Linked DNA regions of Cricetulus griseus. Each later gene encodes a partner of the first gene's protein in a complex. Links are inferred from orthologs where the notes say so. Each region holds a gene or a part of one and is shown on either strand. Other genes may lie near its edges.

Region 1 (5,547 bases):
TCGGGCTGGTAATTTTTAAAGAGGAAGGAAAAATAATTTAATCTTCATTTCAGCATTGTGAAGGATAACACCAGAAATGAAGTTATATGCTCTCTCCACTCCAAGGAGAGCAGCCTAAAAGTCGTGACTGAGAACAGCTGGCAGAGCTCCACCTCGAAGGAATCTGCAAAGGCATCATTACTCCATTAGGGATAATAGCTATTGATCTGGCTCCTGAAGAACTAGCCGAGTAAGACTTTAAAACCCATTGATCCCACCAGGAAGATCTGTTTCTATAACTAAGGCATCCTTCAACCACTGTAATCCCAAGTCCAGAGTTCTAATCCAGTAACCCCAAGGTCCAGGACCTCCTTCCCCCCAGGATGCAAGTACCAGCGGCCTACTCAGTATATTAACTTCTCAAGAGGCTATTGAAAGCCAAAGGCAGGATATTCCAGTGGTCTCCACCTTTGCCCAAAGGGATGTGTTCCAAGATCCCCAGCAGATACCGAAATTGCAGCTAAACCCAAACACTGTATCTCATACATACCTGTGATAAATTTAATCTCTGACAGGCACAGTAAGAGCAATAACTGATAAGTAGAAAGAACAATTATAACAATAGACTGAAGACTTTATTACATTTTATTTTGGACTGTGATCAGCCAAAGGAAAGTGAGATGACAGAATCTGAATATGTGGGGGGAGGGGAGAGTGGGATAACCTAACAAGTCGGAACCATCTAGGTATTCTGCTCAAATGCAAAATTGCACATTTATCTCCTCTCCTAATTCAGAATACTGCCCCTAACTATTGATGTCCTAGTCACCTACAGATATAGCTGTGCATGAATTCCAAACGTGGCATTTCCAGAATTACCCTAGATGCTTAAACTACACCTTAATTCCCTTCATCATCAATTTTTCCGGTGCCAGGGACTGAACCAAGAGACGCATGCTTGAGACACAGGTGATTTGAGTTACCACACTGGGGAACCATGTTCCTCACTGGTTCAAGTAAGTATTGTGTGGAAACTGGGGGTGAGAGGTAAGCTGATTTTCTTAAAAGGCCACAGAAAATAGGCTTGAAAAAAACTTTTTAAAAGGCCTATATCTTACAAATCATTCTTCCTCTCATAGCATGGTCAGCAGAGTACAACCTCCCTCATTCGGATGGAAAACACTTTGTACTGGGTTTTCATTTCCTAACAGCTACTGCAGATGGCCAGCCATCATTTAATAATGCTTTAATGAAAAGCTGTCTCATTGAAATAACACTAAATGCACACCCACCTCGCTATGACCAGAGACATTCTTATTTAGAAATTCCTTCACTTCCTCGTTACTGGGTTTTTAAAGTAAGTGATATGGATATGGATATTGAGAAATATGAAAGTATCTTATAAAGTTGTTAAGGGACATTTAAGGTGAATGGACTTTTCTAGAAGTCACTGCCCTTGTATGTCTAAAGTGAAATAATTTTTTTATTTGGTGATCGAGGCCAATGTGGTAGAAGATGAAACGTTCAATGCCACCTGGCTTATCAGCTCATTTCTGCATTACCTTGGACAAATGCCATCTGAAAACTCCCTACCAGCCCTTAGGTGCATTGCAGCCTCTGTGTCATTGTGTGTGACATCACTGGGTTGCTATGGATATAGGTGCGAGGTCACTCGCTCTCCTGTGGAACTAGAAATAGGGGAGAATTAGAGTCTAAATATCACGAACTGAAGACATTTTCAACATTAGTGACCCACAGAAGTCCAACTTGTATCCTTTAACTGTTAAACCGTTATAAAAAGGAAACTGTAGCAACACACTAACACAACAGTAGCTCTGGTCTTAAAGCCAAATTATTTTTTCATAAAATAGAAAAAAATTGTAGCTCATTTGATTAGGAAAGGATAAACACCTGGACTTTTGAAAACACTAGAAAAAAATTAACTAAAAATTAATGCTATTCGTTCACTTGAAAGGTTTAACTTGCAAGGCACACTCCAGCCACTTAACACCAGAGATGCATTTAACAACCTTTGTTACATAAGGTAGGAAGTTAAATATTAAGGGAGTGGGAAACCCAATTATTAATTTTTCTACTTAATTTTTCAATACTCAGTACTGCCCCTCTGCTGGCAAACTGGTCCCCAACTCGTTAATAAATAAGTGCTACTGACAAAATGGTGCAAATAGGTAGAATTTTGCATCTCAGACAAAAATGCGACAACTGGAGATCAGTATTCTCTTCTCATCAGTATGAGGATGCATTAGGTCAGAGGGAAAAAGCCTCAGATACATTTAAAAAAAAAAAAACCCTCCTCCCAGCCTCCACCCAGTCTAGGCTCTCTGCAATATGACAAATGCAGAATCTTCTGGAATGACTTGATACTGCCTCCCTGCATCGCTTTGTTTGCAATGTCAGATTAGACGGATTTTTTTTTTTACACTTAAAGGAATTTCGGGAGACTCGTGCCTACATTCAAAAGAGAAACTGCATGTCACAAATTTAATCAGTCAGTTAGCATTCAAAGGCATGTTTAACCCTTTTCAATGAAAACTGAATATGGCACACAGAGGGCCATGAATGGAAATGCCAACGACACACTTATCCCTCCCTCCGTAGAAGTCAGAGGACTCGCTTTGGGAAATGGGTAAAGGGAAGCCTTTTGTTAAGAAAAACGTGAGCAAGGTGGTTTCGATTTTACACCATTAAGCCCGGGTTTTTGGGGGAGGGGATCTACGTTTTTTTTTTCTTCCCGAAATATTCAATGTTCTTTAAAGGATGTGTCAGTGGGGAAGATGATGGGGAGGGGGAGCTGCTGGAGTGGGGAGGCGGAAGACTGGGAGACCAGCTGAGTGAATGGGAAAGGCGCCGCCCAGACACCAGGGAGAGAAAGAGGAACCGCATCCATGCGGTCCCCCCGCCCCCACGCCTAAGCGGGGAGGAGGGGAAGTGGGGCACAAAGGATGCGCACGGCCCCCGACTCGGAAGCCTGGACGAGCAGGGTCACTTAGAGACCCCTCCCCAGCAGAGCCCAGCCACGCCAGACCCCGCCCCAGCCCCGAGCCCGGAGAGGCTGGGAAAGAGGCCGCGTCACCACTCGGGTGCCCGAGTCGCGCGTTTAGGACCCGTCCCTAATTAATCCCTCCAAGGAGGGGGACGGAGGGGTGACCCCACGGTCACGACCAGGCGACATGCCCCCGAGCATGCCTTCCACGCCCAGAACCCCGGTGCTCGGGAGCGGCTGGGCGAGGCAGGGGGGAGGGGAGGAGACACTCACGTTCTTCATGGCCGCGGCCATATCGTCGTAGCGCTCCGCCTGCTCGGCCAGCCGGGCTTTCTGCACCAGTTGCTCGCGGTCCACCATCTTCGCGGGGCTGAAGCGGGTCGGCTGGAGAGGAGGACACCGGAGACCGCCTTGAAGGGCTTTAGGGAAAGAGAGGGGCGTCGGAGGCCGACGCACGAAGCGAGCTGCTTAGGCGAGGGCGAGCAAAAGGCTGCACGAGCTGCGACCGCGGCACCCGGCGCAAGAAGGCTGCAGCTCTAATGCGTGCCGCGGACGGACAACCCCCTGCGGTCCCGCCCACACGGGTGACGCAAAGGCACCGCCCACTCGCGCATGCGCGCGAGCTGCCCGGCCCCGCCCGGCCCCTCCTTTAGCGGGCTTCGCCCCTATTGGAACACTCCTTGTGGCTCTTCGAGGTTTTCTCAGCGTCTCCCCGATTGTCCACTGCGCTCTAATGTACCCCAAATCCTTCGCCTCAGTTTCTTCAGATCGCTCCTCGTCCCCCTGAGCGCCCCCACCGTTTGCCTCTGCCGCGTGGACTCCTGGGAGTAGTAGTTCGACCCGCAGCGAACTGACCGGCAGAGGAGACCAAGGACAAAGGGGCGGCGGAGACTACATCTCCCAGCGGGCGTAGCGCCGGCAGAGGCGGACCGGGTGGGGGTAGGGTCTAAGCCCGCGGCCGCTGGGGACCCCTGGCGGGGATGCAGCCTGCAACAGTGCTGATTCACGGCCCCGCCCCATGGCTTCTGGGCAGTTGAGAGGAGAGAAAGCCAGGGCCTCATTTATGGACTCTGTGAAACAGAGGTTACAGATCATGGTCGGAGGATGGGGAAGAACACAGTGCAGACACCGTAAATCCAAACTGCCCAACCACCACCATCGAAAGGGTGAGGCTGCCCGAGAGATGGTTGCGTAAATGATGCAACTCTTAGAGGACTGTCTCACACACAAACACACACACACACTTAGAGGACTGTCTCTCACACACACACACACACACACACACGCACACCCGAATGTTGCAGTTTCCAGTGATGCACTTTGACATGGGGCTTCACTGGGTGAAATCATGGAATGACACATATCCGCCTTGTACATTTGTTAATTTCCCTAAGTGATGTAGCTGTCTACAGGCTGACCCTGGGGAAATCCCTTCTCCCTCCAAGATTCAGTTCACTGACCCAACACTTCCCTGAGCTCACCACCCCCTATAGTTTTGACTGCGTTTTTTGTTTGTCTGTTTGTTTGTTTTGTTTTACCAGAAAGGGTTTCTCTGTGTAGACCAGGCTGGCCTCTAACACACAGATCTTCCTGCCTCTGCCTCCCCTAGAGCTGGAATTTATTTACTGATAGGTTGTCTGGTGTTTCATGAAACTCTACTGGGGTCATTAATTTCTACGGGACATTGAATGACAGGCTAAGAAATTCAGGAGTTGGGAGATGAGGTCTGGGTTTGTCGTTTTCGTTTTCAGTCTTAGAGTGCTGAGACTACAAAACCAGGGTCTTACATGAATGTTCCCAACTGAATCATATTCCCTAGCTTGGGAATTGACCTTCACCTAGCCCCGCCTCTGCCCAGGAATTAATTCATTTTTAAATAATAGACAAAGACTCTACATTATTTTATTGATCGATTTTGTTTGTATAGTTGGTTGTGGTTCCTTTGTTTTTCCGACTTTCTCTTTTATAAAATACCCATTGTTTTCTGTTTCGAGACCTGGCCTCATGTAGTTCAGGCAAACTTCTACCTATGTAGCCAAGGCAAACCTTGAATGCCCTAACCCTCCTGCCTCCACCTCCCACATACTAGGATTACAGGCACCTCAGGTGTGTCAGGTGTTTGGTTTTTATTTTATTTTTTTCATTTTTTTTTTCTCTTGAAACAGCCTCACCCTGTAGCCAGGCTAGCCTGAAACTCACTATGTAACTCAGGCCAACCTTAAACACCTGGCCATCTATGTGCCTCAGCCTTCAGAGGACACAGGTGTGAGCCACTAGGCCCTTCACAAGATATTTTAACAGTGGTAGAAAATGGTCACATCTATATTTTGTCTTCATCACTACTGAATGCAGAACACATAACATCAGGCAATGAATGAAGGGCCTGAAGAGATGACTCAGAAGTTAAGAGCACTGGCTGTTATTACAGAGGACTTGGGTTCAATTCCCAGCACCCACATGACAGGTTACAACCACCTATAACTCCAGTTTCAGAGAAATCTGATGCCCTCTTCTGACCTCCACAGGCACCAGGCACACTTGCAATACACATACACACACACAAG
Region 2 (5,020 bases), on another chromosome or scaffold:
TTCTTTAAACCAACAACATAATAAGAAGAGCACACTTTTCTTCAAATGCCTGGGTAGTGTGTGCAAGATCTGACTGTATCTGTATCAGGTCACATAGTATGTACCCCTTTTAAATAGCAAAGCAAATGTAGTCATTTTCTCCAGCACGCTAGGAGAAATAAAACAGCCTGAATCTGCCCAGTGCCAGAGTGGTGAAAAGTAGGAAACCATGCCTCCTTACACACTGCAATTAGGAAGTTGAGTTAGACAACATTCTGAAGCAATTTCAGTCATCCTAAAGACATTTTAAACCTGCATGTCTGCTGACCCAGCTTCAGCTTTTCAGAAGTTATCCAGGAGACACTTAAAGTACTGTACAGAATATATTCCTAGTAATTATGTGATGTTAACTTGGAGCTATTGTGAACACTGTCATAACCACATAAAGACACAGTCACAAACTGTCATAGAATGTTAGGTTTGTGTGAACACTGACATCAAGGATATTCATAGTACACTAACATGGAAAAACATCTAACACACTAACTCACATCCACCTCACATACAGATGTAGACACACGTATCACTACATGTTCATACACAGAAAAGATACACATCTCCATCTCACTGCAGAGCAAAAAGCATACTTACATACCACTATCTACTGTAGACATTTCAGTCTGTACAGCTTAACTTTTTTCTACAATCACCATAAACCATTTTTTAGATCAATACATGAACAACTTAATCAATAAAACCCTCCTACCTAAATAAAACCTAGAACTTTGCCCTCTGACACTCTTAATCAAAGCCATGATGCCCCAGAGAAGTATGTGTGACCATTCTGCTCCCAGCAGTCCTGGAGCAAAGGGCTTAGACCCTAAGCCTCTACCTCTACCCAATGGAGCAGACTCTAGGGCAGGCTGACAGAGCCTCAAGCATCCATCCTAGCATTTGTCCAGCCTCCTGTGTGTGCCCAGTACAGATACTGGCATCTAAAGCTCTAGAGGTTACACAATACATTAGAAGTAGCCAAAGGCAGCTGAAAGTTTGCAGGTCAGGCAGAGCTCTCTACATTTATCATGGTTCCGGCTTTGCTACCGAGTCCAAGTCCCATACGTATGTGTTAAGGCCTAAGCACGCAGTTTCTAACCCTATTCTGCCCTTCCAGCTCCTTGACCTTAGACTTTGTTCCAACATTTCCAAATGCATCTAGGGCTGTGGAGAATCAGAAAGGCTTGTGAAATGTTTAATACAGCACCAAAGAAAGCAAACTAAGATACTGTACTGGCTGCTGGAACCAAGGCTTCACCCCACCCAGAGTCATCACAGCAGCACTGCCCCTCACTTGCCCAGACAAGAATCTCACTCTGCAAGTTACCTGCTGGTATTTATCCATCACCTACTTAAACACAATTGTTTTTCCTGGCATCAAGGAAACTGCCTGCTACTGGAGCGGGCATGCAAAGCCAGGGCATCCTCTGAATCTCCAGGAGGTCTACACCAGCCCCCTGAACCAAAAGACAAGAAACCCTAGTTACTGAGCACTTGATGATGCTGCAAACCAACAGCAAGTGCCAGAGGAAAGCAGAGCAGGCTGCAGTGGCAGCAGCTACACATCTGTAAAGAGGAACACTAGAAACCAAAGATGCAGGCCTTACCTGGATGGCTTTGGGAGCTCATTGCTAGCAGTGTCAGCGCCTTAAGTTCAAAATGGCTCAAAATGTCCAGGTAAACAGTAGCTCCAACCAGCTCCAAACTTCCACCAGCACATGCAAGTACAAAACCGAGGTGGCTCGGGTCCCAGCTGCGTAAACTTGAAGTCTCACTGGCAGGATCTTGTAAACCAAGTAATCCACAAGAAGAGCAGTTGTCACCTGGCCTTGCAGAGATGAACCTGCATGGTCAGAGAGAAAGGAGTCCTCAGTTGGGATATGAACACTGAATCTGGACAATACCACCTAACTAAGGAAATAGGTTTTCACTCTGTTCTTTGTATATGAACTCAGGAATCGGACAAAGCAATTCACGCCAAACCATTTCTATCAGTGAGGTTTGTCAAAAATCACATGTGAGCAAACACCATCGGTGAGCAAGGTTCCTCATCGCCGCTGCACTGCTGACGCCCAATAGCTATGCAGTGGCTGGGCTGTTACACTCATGACAAAAACCCAGCTGTATCCCTGACCTCCGCCCACCACAAGCCAGTAGCATTAGCCAATTATGACAGCCAAAAATGTCTGGGGGGGGGGGGGCAAAATCAACCTCGGCAAAAAATCTCATCTAGAGATATCAACCACCCTTACAGAAACATCCCCACCGTCAGTCTTTTGGAAGGAAGTAGTATAGAACCTTGCTGCTGATACAGATATATTCCAAGCTACACCATTTTGTGATGTACACAGGGAAAATGCCACTGTCTCACCTTGCCTTTCTACTGATAAGCGGCCATCCAGATTTTCTGCACATAGTTGCTACCATAAAATTTAGTTCGAATTCCGTAAGTTCTCTCTCATGTGCCCATCTTTATAACTACATTTTCCCAGGTTTAGAAGGAATGCATGGCCATGCAGAAAAGCACCTGAAAAGCACTCCCAAGAGGCAGGGGTAGGTAACATCCAAACTCAGACCCTTTGTGCTATACTTCTCTTTCTCAGTCTTTTGCCCATAGGACCCACTGCCCAGAACGCATCCTACTCCCCAGATGCCCTTTCCCAGGTCACTCTACACCACTTGATAAACACTTGGGAGGGTTTGGGAAGACTGCAAGTTTTAGGGCACTGTCAAAAGCCCTGGATTTAACAGATTCTTCCCCAACCAGACTTTTCACAACTCAGTCACTTCAGAGACAAGCCAATGAATGTCAACCCAAGACTACCTGACTGACTCTGGCTCCAGTACCTACTGAGACATCTGTCTGTATCTATCTCTCTCTTTTAGAATGTGATGAATCTTTTTTTTTTTTTAAAGAGTTGTCTCACTATTTAGACCAGGCTGGCTGGTCCTGCCTCTGCCTCTGCCTCTTGAGTGCTAGAATTAAAGGCATCCACTACCATGTCCAGCCTATGTATCCTTTTATTAAGCAAGTCAAGGATTTTCCCCAGCTGCTTGCAACTAATCAGTTCATCATGTCAAGGACAGTCTTCAAATGTGGGCTATTCAAGGTGGTTTCCGGCTTTGCACTATTACCTACACCTATGTAACCCTTATCTTTATGACAACTGATATGCACCCAATAGCACCATGACTTTTATCCATAGGTTCAGAACTTTTACTCCTCTCAGTCAGGACACCACTTCTTTAAAGGGAGGCAGGTGGCACAATCCTGCAAACCCCATTATTCTGGCAACTTTGAAGCCATCTTACACAAAGTCACACACACATCCTGGCTAGGTATAAAAGTCTCAGGCCACACCATCTATCCTGTAATGCTGTTCCCTTGGCACCATGGAATAGCCTAAGGCCAGCTATCCCAGAGTTCTGTCTACATAACCTTTAGGGCTGGGTATTGCTAATGTCATTTTCTTCTGCCTAAATGCTACCATGTCTTTTTCTTTAGTCTGGAAACCGAAAAATACTGTCAGACGGTGTACCGATAAGTGTCTCTTGATTCGTTTTGCTCACAGCAAGACCCTTTGAATACATTTCCATCTTCCTGCTCTGGAAAATGCTCAGTCACCCTTGATTATTTTTATTCAACTCACTCTGGCTTCTTGAGAGATTGTATACTGCTGCTGGACTCTCTCCACAGATCCACCCCTCCTGCCTCAGACGCATCTGCTGTTTATTCTGCACTCCCAGGCGGGGTGGCCTCTCTGGTACATTCTGCACGTGACTGCTGACATCTTCCACAGTATCGGCTTTCTTCATTGTGGTCAGGATGCCATTTAAGTAAACTTTAAACAATGCTCTCCACTACTTCCCTTGCAAACCTTCATTTGGCCTAATTCTCTTTCTGACCACCCCACCCCTTACCCCATGCACCCTCATTTCTTGAGACATGTCTAGCCAATCTTCCAAAAAACTTTCTTCCAAGACAGGAATCATGTTCTGAGGTGTGCTCTTAAATAGTCTGGACACCTTGTTGACAGGCCCCAGATGGGGACTGTGGTTTTTCCTCAAAGAATAGCATCTCAAGACCAGAGCACCACCCAAGCCTACCTTGCCAGGGTTACAGCTCCCACCCAAGGCTTCCAGCAAGCTCTCTAAGCTCCACTGATGGAGAGAAGCCCCTTGTAAGAGAACCCAAGAGTTTTTGTTGTGACACAATATGTTTGTTCTGGGAGAACTCAAACTTGGCAAAAGTGAACACTAGAAATAACAGGGCTTAAAAGAAGAATGAGGTTCATAACTAATACACTACAAAAATGTATAATGAAAACATTACCACAGTTCAAAAAAGACAGTAAATAGTCCTAACAAAAAAGTCTAATAAATGCAGAAATTTAAGATTTAAAAACAGTAACAACAATTTAAACAGGAGGATAAAGAGACAATGCTTTTGAGTTTGGGAATCAAGGACAACTGAGCCCACTCTCACCTGTATCTGCGACCTTCTCAAATTGTCCAGACACTCCACTAAGGGACAGAGCTTGTCAGACATATTAATAAAAAACAGTAATTTTTTTGTACCAAGTAGAAAGAACCACCATGAGGTAGGACTGGAAATGGCCTAGAGACAGAAGGTCACTCATTTTATATAACATCAGTGTTCCCTAAGCAACAGAGGCCCAGCAATGTGCAACCTACACGAACACATTTTCAATACAGACACATGCCACATGACATTCAAGTCAACAACAGACTGCATATAGCAAACACAGGGTGGTCACATTAGAAAGGATCATCATGTGACAATGTGGTCACCTTAGCCTGTGTAATATTCACACAATGGCAATGATGACAAAGCTACACAATACATTCCTTCATAGAGCTGAACTTGGCTATGAAGTCACAAATAAACTAAAGATAGGAAAAGATCTATCACACAAACCGTGCAGGTTAAGCACCACTGCCCAACTGACTCTACTTAGAAAACCCC

The links.
Region 2: the proteins of 14-3-3 protein gamma (region 1) and Hdac4 are in contact, whole or in part, in a crystal structure (PDB 3UZD), measured with the Homo sapiens proteins. The link is inferred for Cricetulus griseus from reciprocal best matches to the Homo sapiens genes YWHAG and HDAC4. Residues at the interface, in NP_036611.2 of Homo sapiens: Asn43, Leu44, Ser46, Val47, Lys50, Asn51, Arg57, Phe122, Lys125, Arg132, Tyr133, Gly174, Leu177, Asn178, Val181, Glu185, Leu221, Ile222, Leu225, Asn229, Trp233; in NP_001365345.1 of Homo sapiens: Ser348, Pro349, Ser350, Leu351, Pro352, Asn353, Ile354, Leu356.

What each region holds. Positions count from the first base shown.
Region 1 is NC_048597.1:114,931,926-114,937,472, forward strand, and holds the start of 14-3-3 protein gamma, read right to left. Parts: upstream 3,543-5,547; 5' UTR 3,344-3,542; coding exon 3,257-3,343; intron 1-3,256. UniProt on the Homo sapiens protein: Adapter protein implicated in the regulation of a large spectrum of both general and specialized signaling pathways. Binds to a large number of partners, usually by recognition of a phosphoserine or phosphothreonine motif.
Region 2 is NC_048595.1:443,652,891-443,657,910, forward strand, and holds part of Hdac4 (histone deacetylase 4), read right to left. Parts: intron 3,929-5,020; exon of another isoform or gene 3,684-3,928; intron 1,877-3,683; coding exon 1,641-1,876; intron 1-1,640. UniProt on the Homo sapiens protein: Responsible for the deacetylation of lysine residues on the N-terminal part of the core histones (H2A, H2B, H3 and H4).